Linked DNA regions of Arabidopsis thaliana. The protein of the gene in region 1 interacts with the protein of each later gene in a biochemical or structural test. Each region holds a gene or a part of one and is shown on either strand. Other genes may lie near its edges. The genes, in order: PEN3, AT2G46600, AT1G75460 and CAM9.

Region 1 (8,015 bases):
CACCAATGTGAACTAGTCTGGCCAATTTAGTTAATTGATTGATCATCATATTGTTTTTGGCATTTTTCAGAACGTGTAATAACAGTGAAGGAATTTTGAGGTACCTGCTCAACTGAATCAGATTCAGGAGGGTTTTAGGAGAGGTAATATGGAAGTAGCAATGCTTAAGAAAGATAAAGCTAGAGCTCTTGATGATCTGCTGAAAATCGACTAAGGAAGCCAATGACAAACTCAGACAGGAAAAAACTGTAAGAAGAAGAAGAAAATAAGAGAAAAGCAACAAAGCTATGGAAAGCTTAACTTTGGATTTGCAAGTTAAGTATTTTTAAAGCAAGGGAAGCATTGGAGAAGATCTTGTTGATATGTCAACCATAGCTTGAACATTGTGGAGCCCAAATGAAAAGGTATAAGTTGGCTGCAAAAGATACAAATGAAAACTGTGGAAAAATTCTTGAAGACTGAGATAAGTACACACTCAAAATGAGTTTTTCAATTCTAAGACTATGTGGGAACAGCGAGAACTTCAGTTGTGTGGAAAATTGGGAACTTGGCAAAGTGAATTTGTCTGACCTTCAGGAAAATGAGAAGAAGAAGAAGCATGTATGAAAAATACACTTAAGGAACTTGAGGAGAAGAGTGAGGATTTGTAGGAAAGAGTTGGAGAAGCGGAGACTGGAAGCATGAAAGTCGAGGCAAAGAAGGTTGCTTTAGAAAACAGAAAGCTCAGAGCAATGAAGGTTTTTTCTCTTGAAAAACTCGATAACTTGTCAAAGGTATATGAAAGCTTGGTGGATACAAGTGAAGCGTTTTTAAAGCAAGGCAAGGATTGGAGAAGGTCTTGTTGATATGTCAACCATAGCTTGAACATTGTGGAGCCCAAATTAAAAGTTATAAGTTGGCTGCAAAATATACAAGTGAAAAGTAAGGAAAAATTCTTGAAGACTGAGATAAGTAAACACCCAAAATGAGTTTGTCCATTCTAAGACTGTGTAGAGACAGCGAGAACTTCATTTGCGCGGAAAAGTCGGGAACTTGGCAAGGTAAATGAGAATAAACTGAAGGAACTTGAGGAGAAGAATGAGGATCTGTAGGAAAGAGTTAGAGAAGCAGAAACTGGAAGCATGAAATTTAAAGGAAGCTTGTTGGTCAACGAAGTCAAGCCAAAGAACATTGCTTTAGAAAACTCAGAGCAATGTAGGTTTGTTCTCTTGAAAAAATCGATGAGTCGTCCTCAAAGGTAAATGAAAACTTGGAGTATAAACTGCAGACTGAAGAAGACCGAGAGCTTAATTGACAAAGAAACCAACCTATAGAGCATTACTAAAGAAGCTGAGAAGAGCTCAGGAAAATGAAATTTGCTGGCTGAAGGAATGAATTAGACATTGGTTAATACACAAAATGCAGAGCACTAATCAAAGATTAGTTGAGAAAATAGCCAAACGCAGAGTTTAAGAGGAAGTCAATGGAGTCTTCTTATCATAACAACATTGAGGAGTTGTCACTAAAACTTCTTATTCCGGGTATTTAAATGGCTTCTTCCTCCGCAACTTCTCACTTTCCAGAACACAAAGACTTATAAACAAACCATCCTTCACGTATGTGTTGAATTGAAATGTGAATGTGACTTCATCAACACAATGACTTCAAAACCCAACGACGGTCTTCCTTTCTTTTCTCACCAATAAAATGTAGAAAAGAAACAAAGTACACAAGAAAGACTTTTCATTTAACGATATCTCCACTAGTAGTAGCTATAACTAAATGGGGTCATCGTTATTGACTTTGAATAAGAAATGTTCAAACACTTCAATTATTACATAATATCTTTGCAATAAAATAACAAACGTTAAAGAGCCGTCGCATTATTAGCACAAAAAATATCTTTTGTAAATAAAAAAACAACGTAAAAGAGCCGTCACATTTGAATAATAAAACCCATCTTGCACATAAAAAACACGACTTTTTATTATTTTTGATTATTTCAACAAAGTATGAATAGTCAACATAAAGAAAAGTCCGCCTTGATGTTCCTTCCTCACTCCCTATTTATCCATTTTCTAATCCCACCCTCTTCTCTTCATTCATCATCTTCCTCCTCTCTCTCTTCTCTGTATCACCCAACTAAATCCTCACGGGATTAGATCCAAAGTCTCAAACTTTGATCCAAAAACACAAACTTTGTTCAAAAGACATAAACTTTGAGCCAAAGTCACAAGCTTTCTTGGTGAACGATGGATTACAATCCAAATCTTCCTCCTTTAGGAGGAGGTGGTGTTAGTATGAGAAGAAGCATAAGTCGAAGTGTAAGCAGAGCAAGTAGGAACATTGAAGATATCTTCTCATCTGGTTCAAGAAGAACACAATCAGTCAACGACGATGAAGAAGCTCTTAAATGGGCTGCCATTGAGAAGCTACCAACTTACAGTCGTCTCCGAACCACTCTCATGAACGCTGTAGTCGAAGACGATGTTTACGGTAACCAGCTCATGAGCAAGGAGGTTGATGTAACCAAGCTTGATGGTGAAGATCGTCAGAAGTTTATTGACATGGTTTTCAAAGTAGCTGAGCAAGATAATGAAAGGATCTTGACTAAGCTAAGAAACAGGATCGATAGAGTTGGTATCAAACTTCCAACTGTTGAAGTCAGGTACGAGCATTTGACGATTAAAGCTGATTGTTACACTGGTAATAGATCTCTTCCTACACTTTTGAATGTTGTGAGGAACATGGGAGAGTCTGCTTTAGGTATGATTGGTATTCAATTTGCTAAGAAAGCTCAGCTTACGATTCTTAAAGATATCTCTGGGGTTATTAAACCTGGAAGGATGACACTTTTGTTGGGTCCTCCTTCTTCTGGTAAGACCACTCTTTTGTTGGCTTTAGCTGGGAAACTTGATAAATCTCTACAAGTCAGTGGTGATATTACTTACAATGGTTACCAACTCGATGAGTTTGTTCCGAGAAAGACCTCTGCTTACATTAGTCAGAACGATCTTCATGTTGGTATCATGACTGTTAAGGAGACTCTTGACTTCTCTGCTAGGTGTCAAGGTGTTGGTACTCGTTATGGTAAGTAAAAGATTCAATCTTTAATCATATCTTTTTTTCAAGATTCAGTTTTGTTGAATGGTTTTGATTCTTGTTGTTGTAGATCTGTTGAATGAGCTTGCGAGGAGAGAAAAGGACGCTGGTATATTCCCGGAAGCCGATGTTGATCTCTTCATGAAAGCTTCTGCTGCTCAAGGTGTTAAGAACAGTCTCGTCACTGATTATACTCTCAAAGTGAGTCCAACTCTCGCCTTAACTTAGCTCATCTTGTTCTTTTTGTTTCAAGAAGAGTGTTTGTTACTAGGCAAGCAACTCATAAAATCGAATCGAACTAAATCGTTTTTTATAAACCGAAACTGAACCGGAATTTATTCATTAACCGTTTGGTTTCATTATTTTAGAATATTGATATAAGTTTTCATATTCTAAAAATGTTCTAGACAATCTTTTCTCATGTTCATAAAGTTTTGAGTCTTTTTTTGTATAATACTAACTTTGGCCGTGTAACAGATTTTGGGGCTTGACATTTGCAAAGACACAATAGTTGGAGATGACATGATGAGAGGTATATCTGGAGGTCAGAAGAAACGTGTCACAACTGGTGAGATGATTGTTGGACCTACTAAGACACTCTTCATGGACGAAATATCCACTGGTCTTGACAGTTCCACTACTTTCCAAATCGTCAAGTGTCTGCAACAAATCGTTCACCTCAATGAAGCCACGGTGCTCATGTCTCTCCTCCAGCCTGCTCCTGAGACTTTTGATTTATTCGATGATATCATCTTGGTGTCGGAAGGTCAGATCGTGTACCAAGGACCGAGAGACAACATTCTTGAGTTCTTTGAGAGCTTTGGGTTCAAGTGTCCTGAGAGAAAAGGAACAGCTGATTTCCTGCAAGAGGTTACTTCCAAGAAAGATCAAGAACAGTACTGGGTGAACCCGAACAGACCTTATCACTACATTCCGGTTTCAGAGTTTGCCAGTAGATACAAGAGTTTCCATGTTGGGACGAAGATGTCTAACGAACTTGCAGTACCGTTCGATAAGTCTCGCGGCCACAAAGCAGCTCTTGTGTTCGATAAGTACTCTGTCTCAAAGAGGGAGCTTCTCAAGAGCTGTTGGGACAAAGAGTGGCTGCTTATGCAGCGAAACGCGTTCTTCTATGTTTTCAAGACTGTCCAGATCGTCATCATTGCTGCAATCACGTCTACACTCTTCCTGAGAACCGAAATGAACACAAGAAACGAGGGTGATGCTAATCTCTACATAGGAGCATTGCTATTTGGAATGATCATCAACATGTTTAATGGGTTTGCGGAGATGGCTATGATGGTTTCAAGACTCCCTGTGTTCTACAAACAGAGGGATCTCTTGTTTTATCCATCCTGGACCTTCTCACTTCCCACTTTCTTGCTTGGGATTCCAAGCTCAATATTAGAATCGACGGCTTGGATGGTGGTGACTTATTACTCCATTGGTTTTGCACCTGACGCCAGCCGCTTCTTCAAGCAGTTTCTTCTGGTGTTTCTGATTCAACAAATGGCTGCATCCCTCTTTAGGTTGATTGCTTCTGTGTGCAGAACCATGATGATTGCTAATACTGGTGGTGCTCTCACTCTACTTCTTGTGTTCTTGCTCGGAGGCTTCCTTCTTCCGAAAGGCAAGATTCCTGACTGGTGGGGTTGGGCTTACTGGGTATCTCCTCTCACCTATGCTTTCAACGGTCTAGTAGTCAATGAAATGTTTGCTCCCAGATGGATGAACAAAATGGTAAGTGGCTTACTTCTTTATTCTGCATTTTACAAACAAATATCATAGTAAAGCCGCCTCTGAGTCATATTTTTTTCAAATTACAGGCTTCTTCTAACAGCACAATAAAGCTTGGAACTATGGTGCTTAATACTTGGGATGTCTACCATCAAAAGAACTGGTACTGGATTTCAGTTGGAGCCTTGCTTTGTTTCACAGCCCTCTTCAACATTCTATTCACCTTGGCACTTACCTATCTCAACCGTAAGTTCTCGTGTTGTATCACCCGTTTTACCAAATCTAAAAACAATAGACTACTAATAATGTACCTTTGAAACTACAGCTCTTGGGAAGAAGGCAGGTTTACTTCCAGAAGAAGAAAATGAAGACGCTGATCAGGGGAAAGATCCAATGCGTAGATCTTTGTCTACTGCAGATGGGAACAGAAGTAAGTAAACACATTTCTTAATCTGCTTAGATGTTTTGCTTTTCTTGTACTCTTGTCTCATTCTGCTCCCTGCTATCAGGAGGAGAGGTCGCAATGGGGAGAATGAGTAGGGACTCTGCGGCTGAAGCATCAGGTGGTGCAGGCAATAAGAAAGGAATGGTTCTTCCTTTCACTCCTTTAGCTATGTCCTTTGACGACGTCAAATACTTTGTTGACATGCCTGGGGTAAGTAACTATCTTCACTTAAAATCTTTACACTAAATTAAATATGAATTACTTAAACTAAATAGATATCTTTTGATGGTATAGGAAATGAGAGACCAAGGAGTTACAGAAACAAGACTCCAACTGCTTAAAGGTGTGACTGGTGCATTTAGGCCAGGAGTTTTGACTGCGCTTATGGGAGTGAGTGGTGCCGGTAAGACTACGCTTATGGACGTTTTGGCCGGAAGGAAAACAGGTGGATACATTGAAGGAGATGTGAGAATATCAGGATTCCCAAAGGTTCAAGAAACATTTGCTAGAATCTCAGGATATTGTGAGCAGACCGATATTCACTCCCCGCAAGTAACAGTCAGAGAATCTCTGATTTTCTCTGCTTTCCTTCGTCTTCCTAAAGAAGTCGGCAAAGATGAAAAAATGATGTTTGTGGATCAAGTGATGGAATTGGTAGAGCTGGACAGTCTTAGGGACTCCATTGTTGGTTTACCGGGTGTCACGGGGCTTTCCACGGAGCAGAGAAAGAGACTGACAATCGCGGTGGAGCTTGTAGCCAACCCTTCCATCATCTTTATGGATGAGCCAACTTCAGGGCTAGACGCTAGAGCAGCGGCTATTGTGATGAGGGCGGTAAGGAACACAGTGGACACTGGAAGAACCGTGGTCTGCACCATTCATCAGCCTAGCATTGATATCTTTGAAGCATTTGATGAATTGATGCTGATGAAGAGAGGAGGACAAGTGATTTACGCGGGTCCATTGGGTCAAAACTCTCACAAGGTGGTTGAGTACTTTGAATCTTTCCCCGGAGTGTCCAAGATTCCAGAAAAGTATAACCCGGCCACTTGGATGCTCGAAGCTAGCTCACTCGCCGCTGAGCTAAAGCTTAGTGTTGACTTTGCTGAGTTATACAATCAATCAGCATTGCACCAGTAAGTTTAAGTTCCTTCTTTTCCATGGCTCATTGCATCTGATTGATTGTTTAAGTAATAGTACTAATGAATACATAACAAAATGCAGGCGAAACAAAGCGTTGGTAAAAGAACTAAGTGTACCACCAGCAGGAGCATCAGATCTTTACTTTGCTACACAATTCTCACAAAACACATGGGGACAGTTCAAATCATGCTTATGGAAACAATGGTGGACGTATTGGAGATCTCCAGACTACAATCTTGTCCGTTTCATCTTCACATTGGCAACATCTCTCTTGATTGGTACAGTCTTCTGGCAAATCGGAGGTAACAGGTCGAACGCAGGGGATCTAACAATGGTGATAGGAGCATTGTATGCCGCGATTATCTTCGTGGGAATCAACAACTGTTCAACAGTACAACCGATGGTTGCAGTGGAAAGAACAGTGTTCTACAGAGAAAGAGCAGCAGGAATGTACTCAGCCATGCCATATGCCATCTCTCAAGTCACTTGTGAGCTTCCCTATGTCCTTATTCAAACCGTTTACTACTCACTCATCGTCTACGCCATGGTTGGTTTCGAATGGAAAGCCGAAAAGTTCTTCTGGTTCGTCTTCGTTAGCTACTTCTCATTCCTCTACTGGACTTACTACGGCATGATGACTGTTTCCCTCACACCAAACCAACAAGTCGCTTCGATTTTCGCCTCAGCGTTTTACGGTATTTTCAACCTCTTCTCTGGTTTCTTCATTCCAAGACCCAAAATCCCAAAATGGTGGATTTGGTACTACTGGATCTGCCCTGTTGCATGGACCGTGTATGGATTGATAGTGTCGCAGTACGGTGATGTGGAGACACGTATCCAAGTCCTTGGTGGTGCTCCTGACTTAACCGTCAAGCAATACATTGAGGACCATTATGGTTTCCAATCTGACTTTATGGGACCAGTGGCGGCTGTACTCATCGCTTTCACCGTCTTCTTCGCCTTCATCTTCGCCTTCTGCATCAGAACTCTCAACTTCCAGACCAGATAAAACCATCTCTCAAACAACAAAGTCTCTTTCTTTTTTTGTATCCTCTGTGTTGTTTATATGCACTATAAGCTTTGTATGTTCTAAATATGTATTGTAGTGTCATAACGAAATTTTTTTGAATATTTTTATTTATTGTCTTATAGATGATGACGAATCGGAATCATGTAATATAATTCCACTTTTTTTTGTGTTTATATCCACAAATCCCTCAAAGTCCATTTTTGTTTGTTTCTTGAGACTTTTTATTTTACGATACTTCCAATAAGAGGAAGAAGACAGAAAAAAAGTGTGATCATATCCATTATCAAAGAAGACAAAATCAATGGAGGATAAGTTAATGTTCTTCATGATTAAATCTTGATAATTGTATAACATGGTTCTGTAAAAATTATCACAACACAACACCAATATCATAAAGTTTAATGAGAAATCTCAATAAATCAGTTTTTCTAAATATAGAAAAGTCTATCTTACAACGACAAAACGATTTTGAATTTTGGATTAAATCACCTAAAATTTCCTTAAATCCTACCAAAAGTCCTCCCAATCAAATTTCCATTTAATCATACCCAAATGTTTAGGCCAATACACCACCCTATA
Region 2 (2,711 bases), on another chromosome or scaffold:
AATGGTAACATAACTCATCAGCAGCAGCCTTCATCATCTTCTTCTGTCTATGGTTCCTCGTCGTCTCCTGTTTCAGCTCTTGAACTTTTAAGAACCGGAGTTAATGTTTCTTCAAGATCAGGGATTAACTCATCGTTCATGCCTTCCGGTTCAATGATGGATTCAAACACTGTGCTTTACACTTCTTCAGGGTTTCCAACAATGGTGGATTACAAGCCAAGTAATCTCTCCTTCTCTACCGATCATCAAGGGCTTGGACACAATAGCAACAATAGGTCTGAAGCTCTTCATAGTGATCATCACCAACAAGGTAGAGTTTTGTTTCCATTTGGGGATCAAATGAAGGAGCTTTCATCAAGCATAACACAAGAAGTTGATCATGATGATAATCAACAACAGAAGAGTCATGGAAATAATAATAATAATAATAACTCAAGCCCTAATAATGGATATTGGAGTGGGATGTTCAGTACTACAGGAGGAGGATCTTCATGGTGAAGCAAAATGATCAAAAGGAGATTATGAAATTAGCTTTCTAATTCTCTTTTTATGATCTCTTGCCTCACATGGGTTACTTTAGTTAAAGTTGTCAGAACTTAGCTAACACAACATAGTCTTTTTATTCTTCCTTTCCTTTTTTTTTTTTTTTTTTTTTTGTTAAAATCAATATTTATTTTCTAAATGTTTTGTAGTTTGGTTTGATGATAATTTGGGTTGGTTTTTCATTTTGGTTTGTTGATTAATTAGTATATAAATCACGGCGTTATGTATGGGTAGAAGAATATGTGAATACGAATCTCTCGAGTGTTGCATATATGGTATATGGTATGCACTATGTAACTATGTATTCATCGCTTCTTCTATCTGTATAAGTGTTTTCATAAAAGGATTATTCATATGATCATATCTATTATCGATATAGAAGTTAGTGTGATATACTCTCTAGATCGATCACTTGGAAAAATCAATAAGCCCGGGCCATCAATAAGGCAGCTAAAGTAACTACGTAACCATTGGCCATTGCTAAGATGGTTATGTAGGCTTCTAACATGTCCTCGGTCGTTGGTTCAAAAAGCCACAATGATCATTTTACCTTTCTCTTAGCAATTTTATATCCAGTTAACAACTACTTAGTTCATATTTTTTCATAATAGTCACATCTCAAATTCAGACGAGAAATTACCGTTACATCAAATCAGTTAAGGCTTGGACGGAGAAAGAGATATTTTATTATATGTCGACATGTCGTTATTATTGTAAGAGAATCCAATTCCATTGAAGTAAATAATTGAAAGACACGACGGAAGAAATCAAGAAACGAAACTTCTCCGAAACTTACCATTGTCTTGTCTTTCTTTTGATAACAATATATGGGAGTGGGAATGCGTCGTATTCACGGCCCATTCGAACTTTCCACGAAACCACCTAATAATCAGCTGCTTCCCTCCCTACTCACGAAATCGCATTTTATCTTGGAATGAATATCAGCCGTTCATTATTTCAACTTTCAGAATCCAACGGCTGCGATTCAAGAGAGAGTTTTAGGCCACACGAACGTGACAAACACATCGGTACAGATACGCCACTCACTTATATATCCCTTTGGAACTAATCAAAAGAGTTCACCAAAATCTCTTCTCTCTCTTCCATTGTCTTCCTCTAATGGAACCAACCGAGAAATCTATGTTACTAGAAACTACTAGTACCACGAAGATGGAGACCAAATACGAAGATATGTTACCAGTTATGGCGGAGAAGATGGATGTTGAAGAGTTTGTATCAGAGTTATGCAAAGGTTTCAGTTTGCTTGCGGATCCAGAGAGACATCTCATCACAGCTGAGTCTCTAAGACGAAACTCAGGGATACTTGGAATTGAAGGTATGAGCAAGGAAGATGCTCAAGGAATGGTTAGAGAAGGAGACCTCGATGGAGATGGTGCTCTTAACCAAACCGAATTCTGCGTTCTCATGGTTCGGTTAAGCCCTGAGATGATGGAAGACGCCGAAACTTGGTTGGAGAAAGCACTCACCCAAGAACTATGTAATCACAATCTCTCTTCTATGCCTTGAATGATCGTCCTCCTTTCTTGTGTATTCTCTTTTTACTTCTACAAAACCTATAAATGTTTCTGAATATAAAATGAAGTAATGATTTCTTGATCCTGAAAAACTGAATGGATTGCCTTGAAACTATTCCAATTCCAAAAGAGATCATTGCCATTATAAGCTACTAATACTTTCTACACCACATAGAGTGCAAAGCACATACGGTTCAAGTCATAAGCGGTAAAGACTCAGTACTAAGAACTTGTTTTTGTACCATGCCCATACATTCTAAAAATCCATCGCCCAACAACATCTTCAACCTCTTGCTCTTTGAATCGGGGACCGGCTGTTAAAAAATAGAAAAGAAAAATCAGACAATTAGAGTAGCACATAACACTATATATAAGGATATTGACCATTCAGAAGCCAAGTACTGTTACCTTCTGTCATAGCCCGGACTCCTAGCTCTTGCTCTACCATAGTCTGAACTGCGACGCCCATAATCTGGACTCTTACGTCTTTCATAAGGAGCAGGACCCTTGTACCTGTCATATTCAGGACTGCGACGACGGGTATAATCAGGACTAGGACGCCTCCGATACACTGGGCTAGGAGATCTCCTTCTTCGACTGCCAGCATATCTATCTTCTCTTTCACCAGCCTCC
Region 3 (4,317 bases), 6.3 Mb from region 1:
TTAAAACTAAAATAAAAGGTCTATTGGTGTTAGTGCCGGCTTTGTGTCACCATCCAAATTTAAATCCGCATATGCATGTTTTTGAAAGAAAAAAAACAAATAATAAAATTTAAAACCTAGAGAATTTTCAATGAATTGGAAAACTTCTACTTCAACTCTTGAGCATAATATATTTAAATACTTAGTTTGAACCAAGAATTCTTAATTTGGTCAATAATATATAGAATCATCTGTAAGAATAGTATAGTTGTAAGAATAAATTTGTTTGTTACTTTTGTTTTATGAATGTGAAAACTATATAAGATTCTCTGAAGCTTTGATCGTGTTACTGTCATCAATCATCGTGAAGGGACATTGTGTTATTCTATTTTATAGCAATCTTTTCTAAGAAAACATAAATACTATTATTATTTTGTTCTTTTTGGTTTTCCCTTTTCATTGTCGACGAGAACTGAGACTTTGGAATGTACCCAATTGATAAATTCAAAGTTTTGGACCAAAGCTAAAACCTAAAGCCTCAATCGACATCACATTTTGGCCAATCATTCTCCGGAAATCTCGAAAGTCTTTGAAAAATAATGAGTGTAATGTGAACTTTTATTATGGTGCTTTTTTGTGGGATACCCATCACATTTTTTCTGTCATCTAAATATTTGTTTCTTATATCCAGCCAAACAAATAAATATGTAAACACCTAATATATGTACCAAGACTAATTTTATACAAAAAAGTCTGATCGTCAAACTAATATTAAAAACTAAAACATATATATGGGACGACAAAAACATGGCATATGGTTGGTTCCAAACTCTAAACAAACATATTATTTTGAAATTTATCGGCCAATACATTGAGATGAAACTACTGTTGCGTTCTACGCAAGCGATTATTGGTTTTGTTTCTGTAAATTAATGTCAATTGGATTTGCATAAGAATGATTTTGTTTTGTTCTTAGCAAAAAAAAGAATGGTTTTGTCGCAACATAGACAAACGATTCCAAAGCCCACGTGCCTTGGACTCGTCTTTATCCTACTACACTTCTATCATTGGCCTCCTAATCTCCCGTTGATATTTGATTAGTGGTTCTCATTTTTATTTCCCTTTCAATTTAATTTGTGAAAATATATTGTTTTTCTTTTTGTCTTTGTAATGTCTTTTTCAGATCTACTCTTAGCTTATGAAACGAACTCGCGCTCATTTGGCTCCAAGTGTGGAGATCTTGTAAGTTTGTTTCAGCAAATTAAGGTTCAAATTTTTTATGATACAAAGTACAAACCCTTATTCATATAAAATGGGCCATTTTTCACAATGGGCTTATTTGTGGGCCTTATTCGTTTAAATCTTTATGTGTAAACAAAAAATTAGTTTCCCTTTTCCCTTATCACAAGAATAAAATTAGTTGGGTAGATGAGTTGGACTCTTCTTTATGGGCCCTTATTCTACTGCATCTCTTAAACCAAGAAAATATTTGAGTTGACCAAAAAAATTGACAAATCAACAATTACACAACCCTGAAATGAAGTTACCACAAGCACAAAGCTTATACTAACCGGTTTAATGATGATTTTTTGGTACATAATTGGTTGGAGATTGGAGAAATAAGTTAGGGGAAAATGTCATAAATCAACCCACACCTATCACCATTCAAATGCTCTTCCAACTAACTTCTACACATTTTTATTCTCTCTAGAATTCTCATCTAGAAAATGCGTCACTAATTCCTTCTTAGTCAGTAATCCCTAATCTAAAGAGCACGTGGCATTACAAGAATTTTGTAGATGGATAATATAAAGTCTCTCACTCGTGGGATATTCAGAATCACATCCACTTCTTCTTCCTCTCCTCTCGTTTATTATCCACACAACAAAAATACAAATCACTCAAATATCTGTTATAATGACATGTCAATTATCATATCCTTAATTTTTTTTTCTTTAAACCCACCAAAAGGCAAAAGAAATATTCAAATAATGTAATAAACCCTCTTTTTTGTATTCTCTGATTACTTCGTCTCTTCCCCTGTAATGGCGCTTCCACACGTAGTCTCTTCACCTTCTTCAACTTCATTATCTCCTTCCTTCAAATCCAAACCACCGTTTCACTCCCTTAGATCTTTATCACCGACGGTTGATAATCGCCGGCGTTGTAAACTCAACAGTTCCTTCCGATGTTCATCTTCTTCATTCTCCGAGAAGCATCACAACGCGAAATCTCCAAAATCCGATGATATCGTCGAGCTTCCTCTGTTTCCACTCCCACTCGTTCTCTTCCCCGGAGCAATCCTTCCTCTTCAGATCTTCGAATTCCGTTACCGTATCATGATGCACACGCTCCTCCAATCTGATCTACGATTCGGCGTAGTTTACTCCGATTCCGTCTCTGGCTCCGCCGCAGAAGTAGGATGTGTAGGAGAAGTCGTGAAACACGAGCGTCTCGTCGATGATCGATTCTTTCTAGTCTGCAAAGGTCAAGAACGATTCCGAGTCACGAATGTCGTTCGTACGAAACCCTACCTTGTCGGAGAAGTCACGTGGCTTGAAGATCGTCCTTCCGGTGAAGAAAATCTTGATTCGTTAGCTAATGAAGTCGAAGTTCTAATGAAAGAAGTGATTAGGTTATCGAATAGATTGAATGGTAAGGCTGAGAAAGAAGTTCAAGATCTGAGGAGGAATCAGTTTCCGACGCCGTTTTCGTTCTTCGTCGGAAGTACGTTTGAAGGAGCTCCTAGAGAGCAGCAAGCGTTGCTTGAGCTTGAAGATACGGCAGCTAGGTTAAAAAGAGAAAGAGAGACTTTGAGGAATACACTTAATTATTTGACTGCAGCTTCTGCTGTTAAAGATGTGTTTCCTTCATCATCTTAGTGTGTATTCTACTTTTACTGGTACATAGAATTTCTGAACCTCTTCTCTCTCTAAGCGTTTGGTATATTGAGCTTTGTCAGTAATTGAATATACGAAACTTATGAAAACCTGCAAAGTTGTGAAAGTGTAATTGCCTTTGTAATACGGTGATTTTGGTGGTATTAGTATATGTTTTGAAGGTTTTTATAGGATTTATAGCTGAATTGATCACAAAAATGTTGTGGTTTACTTGAGTTAGCTTCCAAAGTGGAAACCTAGAGAATCTGCTATGTCAACAATTCCTAATAGAGAGAGATGTTCACTAAACCAGGGAATGTCAAAACTGCTACGACTCATATAGAGACTAAGTAGTGTTGGTTGCTTTATCTACATACTATAGACTTATGGTACTTGTATCAGTTTCGTTGCAACTATGGTACTGGTTTAATTATCTTTGGTGTAGATTCTAGTGAGCGTTTTCGACCTCTAGAACCAAGTGGAAACTTACCAAATAAACTGCTTGGGCTGTGGATTGCCTGCCTCTGTGTGTCTGTCGAGTCATTCGGCGCTAGTTTGATCATCTGGTTCTGGTATGAATAACCGCGTTATGTCTATGCCATCGAGTGTCGTCTAATTATGAGATCATGGAGCCTCGTCCATGGTTCACTGCGAGGTTTAGGGTTTAGCAGAGTGACTCTGGTGGTGTTTCGAGTCAAGATAGTCTCTATCGATTCAAATTGCTACACCAAACATATATTTTCGAACTTTTCTGCTATAAGAATTAACAAGTGTTCGCGACAAGAAGATGATTTCTGTTACAAACTCTGTTTTTACGGCTCCATGTTCTGTTTTTCTTCAAAGCATCTTGTGTAATTAACAAAGGTTTTTTGGTGAATATAATTTGGCATTCAAAACTTATGTACACGAGTTGTTTCCTTTGCCATAAAAAAATTGCTTGCCTTCCTGGAATTCCAAAACTTTGGAAGTTGACTACTTCTATAAAAAAAAATAGAACAAGCAAAAGCAGTATGATGCTTGTCTTTTTCTTTATTATCTAGTGTCAAATGACAAAGTCATTTAATCTGTACTTGGTCTTTTACTTCTAGGAATATGTCTGCATATAAGTAACTAAAACCCATTTGCTCAACTAGGCAAAACCCTTACTCCGTCAAAGTCCACCCTCAGACCCATTGCGTTTGGCTATAAACACACAAACGCCAGTTTCCTAGATTCCCAGAACTCAAGAAATATGATGGGACATAATCAACCAATGCAGTCGTCAAATCCACAAGGTAGGCCTATGTTCTGTCTCATTATATTCCCTTGTCACATATATATATTGGTATGCCAATCATAATATTGTTTTCCTTTACAGAACACTTTGTGCAAATAGCCCTGGATATCGAGCACCGCCTAACCACACCGATCAGCCTAACAAGTGACTCGAATCAGAGACGTAACCAGTGGGTTACCATCA
Region 4 (4,258 bases), on another chromosome or scaffold:
TTCTTGGATTGATCTCACCATCGTATCAAGAGATTCAAGATTTCGTTTCTATTTTGGAACAGAGAAACCAACAAAATTGGAGCGTTTGAGGAAATGTTAAAAAGAGTATTTATTTTTAAAAAGGAGGAGAAGGTGCAACGGCTACATTGACAGGTGGCGTAGCCTCCTTTTTTTGCCTTTTGCTTATCATTTGCGCATTTTCATTAATTCGTGATATATGGCTCATGGAATCTTATAATATATGAAACCACTTCAGGAGCCTTAAATTTAATGTGTGCATATCATAGTAACGGATTGATCATTGTTCTCTTGTTTGACCAGTGATGTTAATTGGACCATATGTGGATACTGTAACGTTAAGGATTATGAAAATCAAGATATAGATATATGTATTTTTCAAGTATACGATATACCAAATTAGTTACGACAAAATGCGAATGAGTTGGTAGTAATGAGTAAACCTCAAAATACTGTTTTTTTTTTGTCAACAAACTTATGTTATTATACTTGGATGACTTAAATAAGCTAAACCGAAAAACATTGTTTAACCTCAAAATACTTATTTAATTAGTTGGTAGCATCGTTACATATTATAATTACGACTACGAGTTAGATTCTCAAATAATATTCCCAAATGGATATATTTACATCGATTGATGCATGCTTATTTGTAGTGATCGTCCCTTATGTATATTATGTTTTTATTTTATTTTTTGAACATAGTATAATATTGGTGGGAGAAGACAAAAATAAGGGAGCTCTGCCATCTAATACGGGAATCAAGATATCTGTTTTACATCAAACAAAGACTAGTGTGATGAAATGAAAGTTAAGTTAACAACAATAAAAAACAAAATTAGCTGAAAATGTAATCAAATGAGAGATCCGAATCCGATCTCCGCTAAGTAAAGCGTAGTGGGAGCGTAAATTCGCGTGAGTCTGATTCTGAATCGTATCATACATACCAAATCAAACATTAACGTTTATGATCTTACTTACCCATATCTTATTTCTTAATTTGTTTGGTTGTTTGTAAATGAGAAATACACTATGATAAGAGAAGAAGATCTAAATGAGGCATAGATCTCTAGATACCAAAACAGATAACGCCACCAACTAACATCCAATTAAGGATATATAACACGGCATCTCCCTCTTTAGTAAGCTTACGACCAAAGTAGTGTGACTAGTGCGGAACATTTTTGCAGTTAATACTACTTAGCCTCAATTCTTAATTATGACCGTATGGGACAGGGTAGGTAGGCACAAAGCGGATATTGTTTTTAATATATTTGCATCGAATTTGGTTTGTTGGATCGATAATCTTTTAATATGTATCCGCTTTTGAACTAGTCTATTCTCCGATTGTAGAATGAAACATCTATCCGAAATTCTAATTTGTAGTATTAGTGATTTGTTTTGTTTTTAACAGTATTTTAATATTTGTTTAAATTTGTAAACTTATGGTTATCCAGACTTTTTGAATCATTCAAAAGTGGAAAACAGATCGAATGGAAGTATAGAACACTACAATATATTTTCATATTTTTCTTAGCCGTAAGCCACTAATATTGGATGGACATAAACATAAGAGACCCCACAATATTTATCAGATTAAGCCTTTATTCACATTACAATGTTTCGTTCTCAACTTCTCATCATAACGTGAATAAAAGTAGGAGTTAGAATTAGAACACAACATCTCTAACAAATCTCTTATCTGCATTGCTTTGGAGAGACATGTTTGTACAAGAAGAAAAATGTTTATGGTCAGTCCGTTTTTTTCATATTGATTACCTTTTAAATCCCATTTGGTATTAAAAAAAACCCACTTCTAAGATATGTTTCGCTTTTTATGGTAACAAGACATATAACTTTTCAAAGTTACTGAATGGAATTCTTGACAGAAGTTGTTAGGACACTAAATAATGGAAAATCAAAATCAAGGGTTACATTAGAGACACGCGTACATCAATTATTTCTTAAAATGCAACTTGGTGTACGACTTTTAATTCTTGAGTCCTCAAACCCGAGCATTACTCCACCCTTTCTTTTCGCAATAATCAAGATCCTAATTTAATTCCCTATAAGTATTTTTTCTAATAACTATGAAAATAAAGAAAAATAAGCGTTGAAGTCATAAGTTTGAACAAAGACGCGTGACCTGGAATCGTGCTCAAGAAAAAATATCACAACTAATGAAAACGCAAGGTCATGAGTATTGACCTTGACCGGGCAAGAGCCTAGAGCCAAGAGGTGATGTGTACTTAAATGTGATAGATGCTCCCTTCTTCTTCTCTCATCACTAACAAATTAAGAGAAGCTGATCATCAGATTGAATCAAAGACAGACTTTGACTTTTCTTTGTGATCGAAGATATGGCGGATGCTTTCACAGATGAACAGATCCAAGAGTTTTACGAAGCCTTCTGTCTCATAGACAAAGATTCCGATGGTCTGCTTTGTTCTCTCTCTTTCTTGTTCGATTTGATACACAAATTTATTCAGAATCGATCGGTTTGATGATGTTATGATGCATGTGAAACAGGGTTCATCACGAAGGAGAAGCTAACGAAAGTGATGAAGTCGATGGGGAAGAATCCAAAGGCGGAACAACTGCAACAGATGATGAGCGATGTTGACATCTTTGGCAACGGTGGCATCACTTTTGATGATTTCTTGTATATTATGGCTCAAAACACTTCTCAGGTAAAATATATATACACACTTAAAACCGTTTAGTTATAGTAAAGATTGATAATTGTAGAGAAAAGTTAATAATGAAAAAATTGGTTGTAGGAATCAGCATCGGATGAGTTAATTGAGGTATTCAGAGTGTTCGACAGAGACGGAGATGGTCTCATATCTCAACTTGAGGTAAATAAATTGTCTAACTATTTACCAAATAGTACATTGTCCTGACATGGAAACAATAAAAAACGAGTTACATACATATATAATAAGATTAAGTGATCATGTAGATGGATATAACGAAAGAAGAGAAATTACTAAATGTTACTTTTTTGAAGACCTTGTTATTATTATCTTTATAATCTACTATCATTCACTCATTACAACACAAATTTTTGTCGCCATAAGAAACTCCATTGCTCATATGGTCTTGTTTTTTTTTTCTCAAACCGACACGGCGACAACACAACAATCGAGAGACACATAGTCACATACTACTTGAAAAATACTTCGTTATCTGAATTAAAAAGATTTATATTCAAAAATAATGCAAAAAAGATTGGTCATTTAACTTGGTCAAATGGTTATTAGCTTACTTTTATAATATAAGCCATTCTCTTAACTCTTAAGTCTTAACTATAGTTTATTTAGCCATTTCTCCTAATTTCTATAAACGAAATGCAGTTGGGAGAAGGAATGAAGGACATGGGGATGAAGATAACAGCAGAAGAAGCGGAGCATATGGTCCGAGAAGCCGACCTTGATGGCGATGGTTTTCTTTCTTTCCACGAATTCTCTAAAATGATGATTGCTGCCTCTTATTAGCATTTTGTGAAATGCCATGATTTAAGAGTTTGTTTTTGCACAATTACAACTATATTTCAATATGTTACTATATTTTCCCAACATATAATTAAAGTGTGTGTTACTGAATCAATGATTTTTTTCGGTCGATAAAAAACTATAATATTTTTCCTATCCAAAATTCGAACCAAACCAAACCAAACCAAAAGTATTGTTCTGTTTTAAACATATGTTTTTTAAACCGGAAAATCCAAACCGAACTAAACCGAGAGTAATTATCTGACTCGGTCACTCGACGGTAGCGTGCCACAATTGAACTGGTGGTCGATCCTTAACTTCCATCTTCAATCCTTGCAAAACCCTAATGAAGAAGCAGTCTGAAGAACCAAAAATCAGTGGTTTTTTAATAAGTAAATGGTGAGAAAATCTGTTGAACTGTCGAATTTGTTTATAACCTATCAGCTTTGCTATAAATTGTTTGTTCCAAATTCCAATTCAAGTCCCCATCATTGAAGGTTAAGTAGCTTTGCTTTTTTGTCTGCCGACGGTTGTTGTAGAAATTTATGATGTTCTTGATGCTTGTCACTTTCACTCATATTGAGATCTGTCTCTCGATTCATGTTTCTTCATCACAGTGGACACAAAATGACCTAGAAGCTGAGATAGTATATTTACATTGAGTAGAGCAATTTAGTACTTGCAATATTCGTTTTAGTAGTGTCTAAAAAAGATAAGGCTTTGGTTGAACTCCATTCTAAAACCCT

What was found.
Region 2: the proteins of PEN3 (region 1) and AT2G46600 form a complex in vitro, tested with the Arabidopsis thaliana proteins (one study listed by BioGRID).
Region 3: the proteins of PEN3 (region 1) and AT1G75460 form a complex in vitro, tested with the Arabidopsis thaliana proteins (one study listed by BioGRID).
Region 4: the proteins of PEN3 (region 1) and CAM9 form a complex in vitro, tested with the Arabidopsis thaliana proteins (one study listed by BioGRID).

Annotation. Positions count from the first base shown.
Region 1 is NC_003070.9:22,032,430-22,040,444, forward strand, and holds PEN3 (ABC-2 and Plant PDR ABC-type transporter family protein), read left to right. Parts: upstream 1-1,993; 5' UTR 1,994-2,231; coding exon 2,232-3,069; intron 3,070-3,151; coding exon 3,152-3,282; intron 3,283-3,558; coding exon 3,559-4,821; intron 4,822-4,907; coding exon 4,908-5,064; intron 5,065-5,143; coding exon 5,144-5,248; intron 5,249-5,327; coding exon 5,328-5,473; intron 5,474-5,557; coding exon 5,558-6,399; intron 6,400-6,487; coding exon 6,488-7,415; 3' UTR 7,416-7,697; downstream 7,698-8,015. Other genes in the region: AT1G59865 (uncharacterized protein), read right to left, coding at 1-17, 105-210, 571-868. UniProt on the Arabidopsis thaliana protein: Together with ABCG37, regulates auxin homeostasis and responses by playing a dual role in coumarin (e.g. esculin) and in the auxin precursor indole 3-butyric acid (IBA) efflux transport, thus influencing cotyledons, roots and root hairs development.
Region 2 is NC_003071.7:19,134,408-19,137,118, forward strand, and holds AT2G46600 (Calcium-binding EF-hand family protein), read left to right. Parts: upstream 1-1,611; 5' UTR 1,612-1,662; coding exon 1,663-2,070; 3' UTR 2,071-2,193; downstream 2,194-2,711. Other genes in the region: DAG2 (Dof-type zinc finger DNA-binding family protein), read left to right, coding at 1-498; RS31a (RNA-binding (RRM/RBD/RNP motifs) family protein), read right to left, coding at 2,362-2,392, 2,487-2,711. UniProt on the Arabidopsis thaliana protein: Calcium-binding regulatory protein that interacts with kinesin motor protein KCBP in a calcium-dependent manner. Inhibits KCBP microtubule binding activity and microtubule-stimulated ATPase activity.
Region 3 is NC_003070.9:28,325,962-28,330,278, forward strand, and holds AT1G75460 (ATP-dependent protease La (LON) domain protein), read left to right. Parts: upstream 1-1,736; 5' UTR 1,737-2,024; coding exon 2,025-2,861; 3' UTR 2,862-3,803; downstream 3,804-4,317. Other genes in the region: PUP15 (purine permease), read left to right, coding at 4,093-4,132, 4,216-4,317.
Region 4 is NC_003074.8:19,267,435-19,271,692, reverse strand, and holds CAM9 (calmodulin 9), read left to right. Parts: upstream 1-2,034; 5' UTR 2,035-2,378; coding exon 2,379-2,454; intron 2,455-2,547; coding exon 2,548-2,708; intron 2,709-2,798; coding exon 2,799-2,876; intron 2,877-3,374; coding exon 3,375-3,515; 3' UTR 3,516-3,742; downstream 3,743-4,258. Other genes in the region: AT3G51930 (Transducin/WD40 repeat-like superfamily protein), read right to left, coding at 1-21. UniProt on the Arabidopsis thaliana protein: Potential calcium sensor.